Canis lupus familiaris: one gene and its partners. The protein of the gene in region 2 interacts with the protein of the main gene of each other region in a biochemical or structural test. Links are inferred from orthologs where the notes say so. Each region holds a gene or a part of one and is shown on either strand. Other genes may lie near its edges.

Region 1 (3,744 bases), on a different chromosome or scaffold from region 2:
TGCCTGTAAACCGACAGGCGCCGCTGCAGGCTCTCGAAGAAGACGTTGTCCAGGGCCGGCGAGCCAGCGCCTAGAGGCCCGGGCACCTGGCAGATGGAGCAGCGCAGGCCCGATGCCTCCAGGCATCCCGAGCAGAGCGTGTGCAGACACGGCAGCAGCTTGGGGCACTTGGCTTCGGCCTGGCAGCTCTGGCAGCACAGAAACTGGAACTCCTCCTCCAGGGCTTGCTGGGGGACCAGAGAGGTGGGGTGAGGCCTGAAATCCCGGAGCCCCCCCCCAGATCCTCTGCAGGGAGCACGGCACTACGAGGCCCGGACACCCAAGGATGGGAGCATAAATCCCTACCTTCAAGGGACTCGCTCTAGAAAGGAGATACGTGAAGCGTATCTCATGTAAATCATAAACAGTGCTTAATATGGTTTGGTGGAGGGGCACCTGGGGGCTCAGGGCGTGATCCTGGGGTCCTGGGATCGAGTCCCGCATTGGGCTCCCTGCATGGAGCCTGCTTCTCCCTCTGCCTATGTCTCTGCCTCTCTCTCTGTGTGTGTCTCTCATGAATAAATAAATAAAATCTTAAAAATATATATGGTTTGGTGGCTCCTGAAGAAGTTAAACACAGGAGTACTATATAACCCAGCAATTTCATTCCTAGATAGATTTCCCAAAATAACTGAAGACAAGTAGCTGAACAGATACTTTACACCCATGTCCACAGCACCATCATGCACAGGCTCCAAAAGGTAGAAATAACCCAAGTGTCCATCAACAAATGAACAGATAAACAAAACCGGTCTACGCGTGCAATGGAGTATCATTCAGTTTTTAAAAATGAAGGAAGAGGGACGTCTGGGTGGCTCAGCAGTTGAGCATCTGCCTTTGGCCCAGGGCGTGATCCTGGGGTCCCTGGATCGAGTCCCATATCGGGCTCCCTGCAAGGAGCCTGCTTCTCCCTCTGCCTGCGTCTCTGCCTCTCTCAAATAAATAAAATCTTTAAAAAAATCTTTAAAAAAATATATAAATAAAATAAAATCTTTAAAAAAGAAAATGAAGGAAGGGGCGCCTGGCTGGCTCAGTTGGTGGAGAATGTGACTCTTGATCTTGGGTTTGTGAGTTCAAGCCCCACACTGGGTGTAGAGGTTACTTAAAAATAAGATCTTTACCAAAAATAACATAAAATAAAATGAAAAGGAAGTAAATTCTCATACATGCTATGAGAACCTTGAAAACATTAGGCTAAGCAAAATAAGACAAACACGAAGGGACAAATAATTGGATGGCTCACTTATATGAAATATCTAGCATCGGCAGATCCACAGCAGCAGAAAAGTAGAGTGGAGGTTACCAGGAGCTGGGAGAAGCGGGTAAATAAGGAGCTACTGCTTAGGGAGTACAGTTTCTGTGGAGGGTGATGAAAAAAATTCTGGAAATAGATGGTGGTTGACGGTTACCCAACATTGTGAATATATTCAATGCCACTGAAATGTACACTTAAAAACCGTTAAGTTTTTGGGGCACCTGGCTGGCTCAGTGAGCGCAGCACGAGGCTCTGGATCCTGCGGTTGTTAAGTTCAAGCCCCATGCTGGGCGTAGAGATTACTTAGAAGAAATAAAAATGTTAAAAACATGGTAATTTTAATATTATGGATATTTTCTAGAAAAAAAAAGGGGGAAAAAGTGCTTAATAAAGTACTGGCCCACGAGGAATGTTCACAAGGAAGTAGTACGATTCCTAGTTGTAATAATGCACAGAATAGAAGTTACTGCAGGATGGTGCTTTCATGAAGGGCCTGGGAAAACACACTGCATGAGATGTGAAGTAGCTCCTCTGGGGCAGGAGGGCAGCTGGGGAGCTTGTCCCGAGCAGACCCAGGCAAGCTTCCGGGAAGAGGCCCCAGGAAACCCGGAGCAGACCCAGGCAAGCTTCCGGAAGAGGCCCCAGTACACCCTTTGTGGACCCAGGGTGGGGGTGCGGGGGTGGAGGGCACACAGGGTGTTCCAACAGAAGGATCTTGGAGGTAGGTATCCTAGCGGAGAAGCCACCCCAAGAGCTGTGAGGCCTTAGCCAAGACACTTCTCTCGTCTGGGCCAGGTTCCCACTTCCTGATCTGGGAACTCGGCTTTTGGTTTTCCACACTTGGGACATGCCCCTGGCTCTCGGCCTGCTCCCCAGGGCTACCCCGCCATCCCCCGAATCCCTGGACCTTCATCTGAGGCTCAGGGGGGCAAGTCGCCAGGGTGGGCAGATGAGTCCAGGCCCTCAGCACCTTGCCCCCTGTCCGTGGGGCATGCCAGCCCCGAGGCCCCCCCAGCTCACCCTGGTACCCTTTCCCACTCTCAGCTGCCCCGAGGGTCGGGGCCCAGTGTCTGGCTTTCTCTCTGGGTCACTCTGGGGAGGTGCCTGGCCTCGCTGTCCCCTCCCTTTCCCGAAGCCATCAACCAAGCCTCCACCCCACCTCCCCAAGCCCAGTGGTACCTCCGCGGGGCTGCGGCTGGGGCTGGGCTGGTGGCCCTCGGAGGCGGGCTCCGGGGGAGGCATGCTGGGCGCCCCGGACGGTGCGGGGTCCTGCCCGGGCGCCGGAGAGCGGGGGGGCGCGGGCTCCTGCTGCATGGATCCCAGCACAGTTTCGCTTCTGGGTTTTGAGCCTGAGGGGGGAGGAGAAGCGAAACCGAGAGGCAGGGACCGGATCGCGGTCGCCGGAGCCCGTGGGAGGGACGGCCCCACTCAGGGCCCGCCTCCCCGGAGGAAGTGAGACAGAGCCGGGGGGCGGTTCTAGGGCCGGGGAGGGGGGGTCTGGAGACACGCCCCGAGCCGGAGGGAGGAGGGGAGGAGAGAAGATGCTCAGCCGACCTGGGGGTAACCCGGCCGCGGCCTGGCCTAGCGGGAGGGAGGCCGGGCCGCCCTTGGCTTGACCCCGGGCACAGACAGGAGCCACAGGTGGGCCTGCTTTGGAAGAACCCAGGTCTAAGCGAGAGCAGTCACCCAAACAGGTTTGCACGCTGCAGAGGGGCAGGCCGGAAAGGAGATCTCAGCTGGGACGTGCAGGAACTTGGGGATGGGGAACGCTTGCAACAGCACGAGCAAAGGCATGGAGGTTTGAAACAGGAGAGTCTGTTTAGAAACCAGTTTCCAGGGATGCCCGGGTGGCTCAGCGGTTTAGCGCCTGCCTTCAGCCCGGGGTGTGATCCTGGAGACCCCAGATCGAGTCCCACATCGGGCTCCCTGCATGGAACCTGCTTCTCCCTCTGCCTGTGTTGTGTCTCTGCCCCTCTCTCTGTGTGTGTGTGATGTCTCATGAATAAATAAATAAAATCTTAAAAAGAAACCGGTTTTCATTATTTTCAAATTTAAGAGGGGACCCATGAGCAGGATCAGGGCTAAGGAGATGCACTTGTTCTGTGGGCAACAGCGTGAGATTAGAACCCAGAAACATGACCCAACACGCATGTTGGGACAGTCACTCTGGCAACCTGGGATGGGTGACCTGGTCTAGGACAATGGCTGTGGGATGCAGAGGAGGGATCTGAGTCTGAGACACCAGGAGGACAGTGAGTGGAGCTGAGGGGAACAGGATGATGCCTTGGTTGAGAGTTGGAAAGGTTGGTGAGTCTGAGGCAGCGCAGGCAGGGAGTGGAAGGGGAGAGCCGACGAGCAGGTATGAAGACAGCGAGGAGAGAGCAAGTTAGTTCTTGGCTAAAGGGGAAGCATGCCAGCTCCCAGCTGGTGAGGGTAGGAAGCACAACCTC
Region 2 (3,744 bases):
CGCAGGCGCCGGGCTAGGGCAGGATCTGACAGTGCAGGGTCAATGCCTACATGAGAAGATATAAAGTCAGAGTACTCAGCCCAAACCCTAGAAGAAGGGACTAGAGAGATGCTCCCTCCACCAAACATCTGACATACAAGGGTTACCAGTAGGCATCTCACTAATCCCTACCTGGCCTGTAGTCATCTGTGAGGTGACAGCCAAAGTTGTAGATGAGATCAAGGTGACGTCGCTCCTGTAACCTGATGCCCACGTCTCGGAAGGCATCCTGAGCCATGAGCTGGAGCTGCTGTCGGGGAAGACCAAGGCTGTGCCGAGCAGCTGCCTTCTCCACAGCCCGCAGTACATCTCCATAGTCAGGGAAGGTATCTGGCCCTGGTTTGTTGATGAGCCGCTCAATGCGCCTGTTAACCTCTGGGTAGCGGGTGCCACGATAGGGAATGCGCTGCTCTATGACACGGCCCGTCAGGGAAGAGCAGTCTTTGAGCTCACAAAGCCGCCCAAAGAGGCGGATCAGCTTACGCTTCAACCTTGCCTCCTGCAGGTATGTGGAGTCTGGGTCGTCCAATTCTGAGAGATCCAACTCTTTTTCCTGCAGCCGCCGGATCTCTGCCACATAGAGCGCTAGCAGCTGCTCCAAGCGCTGGATCTGCCGCCGGGAACCACGGGTCCTTGGTGCCTCAGAGGCAGTGGTCTCGGCATTTGTGGGGTCCGAGGAGGGGTCTGTGGGAGGGTTATTCCCAGAGGGTTCACTAGAGGTGGCAGCAGGGGCCAGGTTCAGCTTCTTCTTGGCTGAATGGGCCTTGAGAACAGTGCAGAGCTCATTAATGTAGACATAGAGCTTAGCTGGCCGGCTCTGGGCCCGGGATAGGACCCGAGAGAGGATGTTGCAGAACTCCGCCGAAGCCAAAAACAGAGAGTGGGCACGCTGCTGCCGGTTATAGAGGAATGGGACCACCTCAGGGTGGTCTGCTGTCTGCATCTTACAGAGTTCAAGGAACTGGAGGTTTCAGGAGAAGAAGGGAGGGGGGAAGAGACAAGGGGAGGGGTTGAGAGAAAGAAGGCAAGGCGGGATTAGTGGGGAAGAAAGGACTACAGAGCCAGTCAGCCATCCCCCTCCCTGGGGCACAAGAATCTTCTCCCCTAAAGCTCACCTCTTCAAACAGCTTCTCATTCTCCAACTTGTAGCATTTCTTGCCGCCAGAACTACTGCTTCCTCCAGCCCCATGGGGCTGGGAGGAGCCAGGGGCTTCTGCCTGGGGTGAGGCCGGATTGGGGGGTGGGTGGGAGGGCCCTGGCTGAGCAGCTGCTTCATCTTCGTCATCATCATCCAGCACGATGATGCTGTTAGCGGTGGCCATGGGGGATCAAATCCCCCGGAGGAAGGAAGTGTTGGGGATTTCGGAATTCCTGCTGGAAGGGGATGGGGCCTCAGAAAGAGCCCCTCCAGCATAGCCCCTCCCTTCATCTCACACATTTTCCAATCTTCTTGGGTTTCAGTAACACCCAGCCCTGCTCAACAGTGTCCTCACTGCCTAACTTCAGCAACCACTAGTACCAGACACTTTTCTGACCTTTCACTACCTGAAACCACCTGAAAACCTTAAGTCCCCACCCCCAGCTCTACCCCTTCTGTCGAGATCCAGTTTCCCCACTATCTCTCATACTTGCCAAGTTGACTTTTCCAATCTCTCGACCACCTCCTGCACGTGTGCACTCTGGATTTCCTCGACATTCCCTCGCACAGATACCACATCCCCGTCAGCACCACCTCACCAGCCTTCCCCCTTTCGCTCTCAAACACGTCAAATCCACACCCTCATCCCATCCTGAAGGATCACCCCCAACTCCTAGACTCTCAGAGGCGAAGGAGGTTCTCTCCCAACAATCCACTCCCGTTTCCCCTCCTGGGATTATTCTCACATTCCACCCTCTGACGGGTCTCCTCAAACCGGGACGTTAGGTTGGAGAGATCTCACCTCAAGTCCCCTCCCTCTCACCCCACCCGAATTCCCCCATTCTCTCTCTGTGACCTGTAACCGATTGTGAGCCCAGTACTGAGCTCTCCGGATTCCTCTCAGATCCCAACCCCGCATCCGACCCCTTCCCCCGAATGAGCTTCCCGCCAAGTCCCCCTCCCCCAGTTCAGCCCCCGGCCGCCCCATTCCCCTTCAGGGATTGGAAGGAAGGTACCACAGCTTGCACCTCAGACTCAGCGCCTGGGACTCCCCAGTACCTCTCCCTCGACATTCCCGCCCCTGCCTTCGCTCCCCGCACGGTCCGGCCCCCACCTCAGAAACGGTCTCTCGAGGCGACCCTCGCTGCTGATCTCAGAACCTCGCAGGGTTCCCTCCGCCTTCCTTCCCCCACCCACCGCAGGCCCTTCTCTGGACCGGAAGTCGCGGAGTTTCCGCCTACGGACACCTAGACGCGGCCATATTTTCGTACGGCGCCCGGCCCCCCTGAGGCAGGAAGTGGCGGTAGGCCCGCCCCCCCGCCCAGTGCCGCCCACAGAGTATGCCGCTCTCTTTCCTATGACCAGTAGAGGGCGGGCTTGTCCCCGCAGGACGTCCCAAAGTACCTGGGGGCCGCCATCTTGCCGTACGGTACTGGCTACGCCCGAACTCGGGGGCGCCACCGACGGAGCTCTTTTCGCCCGGTGCTTCTGCGACTCCACCAATCAGAAACTTCCTGCATCCAGCCCAACCGCCGGCGGGTCGCGTGCTGGAAGGACTGAGCCACCTTTCCAAGTAGGGGAGGGGAGGACGGAACAGGACAGCTAAGGAATTGGGCCCTCCAAGACTGTGCAGGGGTGCATAGGAGAGCGAGAATCTCCTAAGAGGGAAAAAAACCCTCTTCCTTCCGCTGGGCCATTGACCAGCCTTCCGGCGCCGCTTTCCTACCTGCCAGGTACCCTTTCCGCGGCTTCATCTACTGCGCCTGCCCTTTCCTTTCTGCAGGCTGCGCGCTCCCCAGCCGCTGTCCAGCAGCTACTTCTACTTCCCCGTGCCCACACCTCCCAATAGTGAAATCATAACACATGCATACAAACGAGCACAATTCGCTACACAAATTTGTTATTATTATTATTACTATTGTTATTGACTTCGTTTTAAGCGCCTCCAAGGAACTAATGACCCACCCAGCAGGTGAGACCTAGGTGGTTCTCCGTTCCTTTCTGGTGGGGTGCCCGAGGTGCATGCAGTGATGACCTGGAGGCCGTGCCTTGTCCAGGAGCTCCAGGGCCATAGGACCGCGATGTGGGGCGGGGGCTTTGAGGAGAATCTGTGCAAATTGCCGCTGTTGGATGAAATGAGACTTGTAAAATACCTTGAGTCTCCACTGGTCTCTTCCTCTTCCTCTGGGAGAGCTGAGAAAAGAACGGGGAGACAAGAAACTGACTGACGCCCCCTCGCCCACACCCGCACCTCACCCAACTTTAAAGAGGCCGGAAGGACTCGTGGAGGCCACGTTGGGTCCAAATACGAGCTTATGGGGAAGTCACACCGGTTAACACGGAGATTCTCCTCCCCTGCGTCACATTCCACAAGTGGTGAGTATCTTGCCACTTTCTAGGACCACAGAGTACCAGAACCTCAAACCCTCACTGCCATTAAAGAATCCCACACCATATGTAAGCCTACAGTCTTCAAATTAGGGAATACGAAAACTCCCCAAAAGGGTACGCAGACTTAGGAGACATAGGAATTTAATTTACAGATTCTCGACTTTCCCAAAATTGAT
Region 3 (3,744 bases), on a different chromosome or scaffold from region 2:
GTGTGCGCGTGCGCTGGGATCAGGGTTCGCGCCGCAACCGTTAACGCCGAGACGTAGACAGCCACGATCTGGCTCCCTTCTCATTGGGGGGGGGACTTCGAGGGGCGGGTTCACACACGCCCCGCCTCCAGGAGTGACCTCATAGCCCAGGCAGCCCAGCTCGGCTCCGCCTCGCAGACCACACCTCTTTTGGGGAACAAGTCGGCGCGTCTGCGCATGTACACCAGCGTGGCTGCACGACCGGATGCGGATGCGGGAAGGTGCGGAAATTGCGCGGGCGTGGAGCCTCGGCTATTCCGGGCAATCCGCGCGGAGTCAGCATCCCTGGTACCCCTTCCAGCCGCTCTCGGCCGCGGGAAAACCCGCTGTTCGAACGCGCATTGCGCGTAACCGGGCGGCCCTAAGCAACTCCTGCCGTGTGGCCGGCTGGTCTGCGCACCTTTTCCGTACGCCACCCCTTGCCCCGCGCTCACCACGTTCGTGTCCCGCTCCAGCGCAGGTTCCCAGCCCAGGTCCCGGGGCCCGCAGCAGTCCAGGCAGACAAGCGCGCGGCAACGGTAGTGGCATGTGAACTTGCAATCTGCAGAGAGGCCTGGCCGTGAGGCGGAGCCCCGGCTCCAGTTCAGAGAAGCATCCCGGGGACGGCAGAGAAACCCCGGGACGAAGGCGGTTGCCCGCCAGGCTTTGCATGACCCGCCTTGTCTTACGGCCCGGGTACCCTGCCGCTGCTATGCAGATTCTAGTGTTGGTCTCCCGACGTCTGGAAACTGGCGGGAAGGCCTCAGGCGGTTAGGGATCCAGGCCGGTTGAATAGCTGGATCTCTAGCACGGAGATCCCCCTTCCGCACTGTCAAGCGCCCCCCCCCCCCCGCCCCCAGCATTTACTTGAAGGGCAAACCCCCCAAATCTTTAACCCTTTAACCCCTTTAGCTGTCATCTGTCTACATCCCTCACACCAAAACATATCATTTATCTGCATACACAGTGTAATTCCTCATCTTCACTCTCTCCTTTACCCATTCCAGTCAGGCTTGATCCTCCCTCCAGGATAATGGTTAGGGTCCTTAGCAACCTGTGCACGTTCCAATGCCAGATCCCTTCTGCATCCTCACCATGCCCCCCAGCATCGTTTGATGCTTGCTCCCCTTGGCTTCCAGGGCCCCCCATTGCCCCGGTTTTCCTCCCATGCCCTGCAGCTCCTGCTCAGCTTCTTTGGTTCTGCCTCAACTCCCAGATCTAATGGGCAAGAGTGTTTGAGACTCAATCCTGATCACTGCCATTGCCCTGCTCTGTGTACAACCCCAGATCCAAGTCTTCCATCCCTAACCTCCCTCCTCAGATCAAAGCCTGTGTCAACCCAATGTGACCAAAACCAACTTTTCTTTCACCTCCCCTCTCCTCTCCCCAGAGCTTCTCATCTTAGCAAAAATCACTACTGTCCCTGTTTGAGGCAAAAATCCCAAATCACCCTTGATCCCTCTCTTCTCTTTGCTTCTGACACATTGTCCTGTATTTCATCCCTATGTCACTTTATTTCTCCATGGGATCACTGCAATGTCTCAGCCCTTGCTCATGCTTGGTTTTCTGTCACAGCTCTGGTGTTCAGGACAGACTCTTGTACTGGATGAGAGGGTCTCTACACCTACATAGGCCTAGGATACCTTCTCTAAATCCCTAAATGGGCCAGAGGAGTGATTCTCAATTGCTCTCAATTCCAGGCTGCCTACTGAAATGATTTTTTTTTTTTTTTTTTTTGTAAATTGCTGATACATTCCTAGTGATGGATTCAACAGGTCTGAAGTCCAGGCATAGGGGTTTGGAGGGCTGTAAAATCCCAACCAATTCTAGCTGGTGTATAGCCAGGGGGACAGCAGCCTCTGCTTGCTGGCAGAAAGACTGCTGGTGTGTGATGTTTTGTGTTTTAGCACCTGGTTGGCTGGGCCTGCAATAGGTATTTGCTCAATTAAATTCTTGCTTGTAGAAGACCCACCCAAGGTACTTTTTCCCTGCTTGCCTCCATAGGTGGGTAAATTCCCCCTCCTCCCAGAGATTCTGGGGGGGTGGGGCAGTGAGTGAATCTTTGGGAAAGAGCAGGCTTGGGAACATGGACTTAGAGATTGGTCGAAATACAGACTTCTCAAGAAGAGCCAAGGCACTTAAAAGATAAAAAGCTTGAAATCAGCACCTTGTTCATAGTTATTCACAGGCATCCGCCTCTGCATAAATGTGCGCCCAATGCAGGTGGTATAGAACAAGGCTATAAACCATCTGTCTGCCTGCACTTTCTTACACGATGGAGCAAAGGCAGTGGACCTGGCCCACTGCCAGTTAGGAACCGACCCTGCCGACCGACCCCCTCCTTTGCGACTTGACACGCAGCGACGGCACTGCCCCTTGGCCGCGCATTTCGCTCTCCCAGCGCGCGGGGCTGCTACTCACGCGCGCACTGCAGGCCCTTGCGCACGACGCCCCAGATGAAGTCGCCGCAGAGGTCGCACCACGTGTGCGTGGCGGGCCCCGCAGGTTGGAAGTGGTGGCCGCGGCCCGCGACCAGCTGCCGTGCCGGATTGCGCGCGGTCCCCGGTGCGATGCGCAGCGCGTTCGCTCGCTCCAGCCGGCTGCGGCCCGGACCTCCGCGCCGCGCGGGCTCCAGTTCCCTCAGTTCAATGAGCTCGGGTTCGGTGGACATGGCCGGGTCGGGCCCGGACTCCCGCCGGCTTTGGGCGCGAGCGAGCGCGGGGCGGGCGGGGCCGCGGGGCGGGCCGCGAGGCGGCGCCGCCCCCGGGATCTAGGCTGGGCGGCGAGAGAACCAGGGCGAGCGGCGCAGTGCAAACCCGGGTGCCCGGGCTGTGTCGGCCCGCAGGCGGAGTAGGGGCGGGGGGCGATCTCGCAGAGTCCCGGCGCTCCCTTTCCTTTTCTTCCTGCATCCGGGTGCACCCCACCCCCGCCCCCCGTCCCAAGACGACGACCACCAAGAAGGGCCACTCGGAGACAGGCTGTTTCTAGAGACTAGCTTTACTGTGCTAGAGGCACAGGGTCCCCACATCCGGCCCTTGTCTTGCCTCGCCCAGGCCTCCCGCTCCAGCTGCTGAGGCAGCACCCTCAGCCTACCCGCAGGGTAGGGCAGGAAGCGAGCAGCCTTTACTGGGGAAGATGGGTCAGCAGCTTGCTGGGCTCGCTGTGCTCACTACCTCGCGGCGCTCGCTCTGCTCACCACCTGGGAGGCTGGAGCCCTGGCTGAGGTTTCGAGAGGTTCAAGGGCACACTGGGGGTGGGTTGTAGGGCATGGGTGCTTGGCCCTCAGCAGCTGCAGCTTTCACTTGGCTCTGTTACCTTGGGCTGCCAGGACACAAGCCTTTCCATGCTTCTTCCAATGCTTGACTTGGCACTCCCTGCAGGCAGGTGGGCTGGTAAGCATGCAGTGCTTGTGCGGGGTATAGAAGTGGGGCTTAGGGGTCCAAGTTCCTAGGATACCCTCACCTGCAGCAATACCATTCATTCTGGCACCGTGAGCACCGTTTGGAGGCATCTGCACTGCAGTAGGCACAGCGGGGCCGCTCTGGGGTTACTGCCTCTAGGACGTCCAGGCTGTAGGTCTCAGCCCATCTAAGAAAGAGGTCAGGAAAGGCTGGCTGTGCCTGGCCAGTGGGGGCACAAGAGCACCTCTGCCTGTGTCCATGCCTTCTGCATCCCTCCTATCCCTTCTGCCCACTCAGTGGGCCTCACCTTCGTGCCTGTAGTCGC

What was found.
Region 1: the proteins of DAXX (region 2) and PML form a complex in vitro, tested with the Homo sapiens proteins (2 studies listed by BioGRID, with this or other methods). The link is inferred for Canis lupus familiaris from reciprocal best matches to the Homo sapiens genes DAXX and PML.
Region 3: the proteins of DAXX (region 2) and RASSF1 form a complex in vitro, tested with the Homo sapiens proteins (4 studies listed by BioGRID and IntAct, with this or other methods). The link is inferred for Canis lupus familiaris from reciprocal best matches to the Homo sapiens genes DAXX and RASSF1.

The regions. Positions count from the first base shown.
Region 1 is NC_049251.1:37,672,446-37,676,189, reverse strand, and holds the start of PML (protein PML), read right to left. Parts: upstream 2,729-3,744; 5' UTR 2,609-2,728; coding exon 2,474-2,608; intron 228-2,473; coding exon 1-227.
Region 2 is NC_049233.1:2,912,813-2,916,556, forward strand, and holds the start of DAXX (death domain-associated protein 6), read right to left. Parts: upstream 2,721-3,744; 5' UTR 2,582-2,720; intron 2,438-2,581; exon of another isoform or gene 2,292-2,437; intron 2,286-2,291; exon of another isoform or gene 2,206-2,285; intron 1,414-2,205; 5' UTR 1,362-1,413; coding exon 1,155-1,361; intron 1,001-1,154; coding exon 172-1,000; intron 47-171; coding exon 1-46. UniProt on the Homo sapiens protein: Transcription corepressor known to repress transcriptional potential of several sumoylated transcription factors. Down-regulates basal and activated transcription.
Region 3 is NC_049241.1:39,421,223-39,424,966, reverse strand, and holds the start of RASSF1 (ras association domain-containing protein 1), read right to left. Parts: upstream 2,705-3,744; 5' UTR 2,690-2,704; coding exon 2,440-2,689; intron 581-2,439; coding exon 474-580; intron 93-473; exon of another isoform or gene 1-92. Other genes in the region: ZMYND10 (zinc finger MYND domain-containing protein 10), read right to left, coding at 3,317-3,392, 3,481-3,606, 3,727-3,744. UniProt on the Homo sapiens protein: Potential tumor suppressor. Required for death receptor-dependent apoptosis. Mediates activation of STK3/MST2 and STK4/MST1 during Fas-induced apoptosis by preventing their dephosphorylation.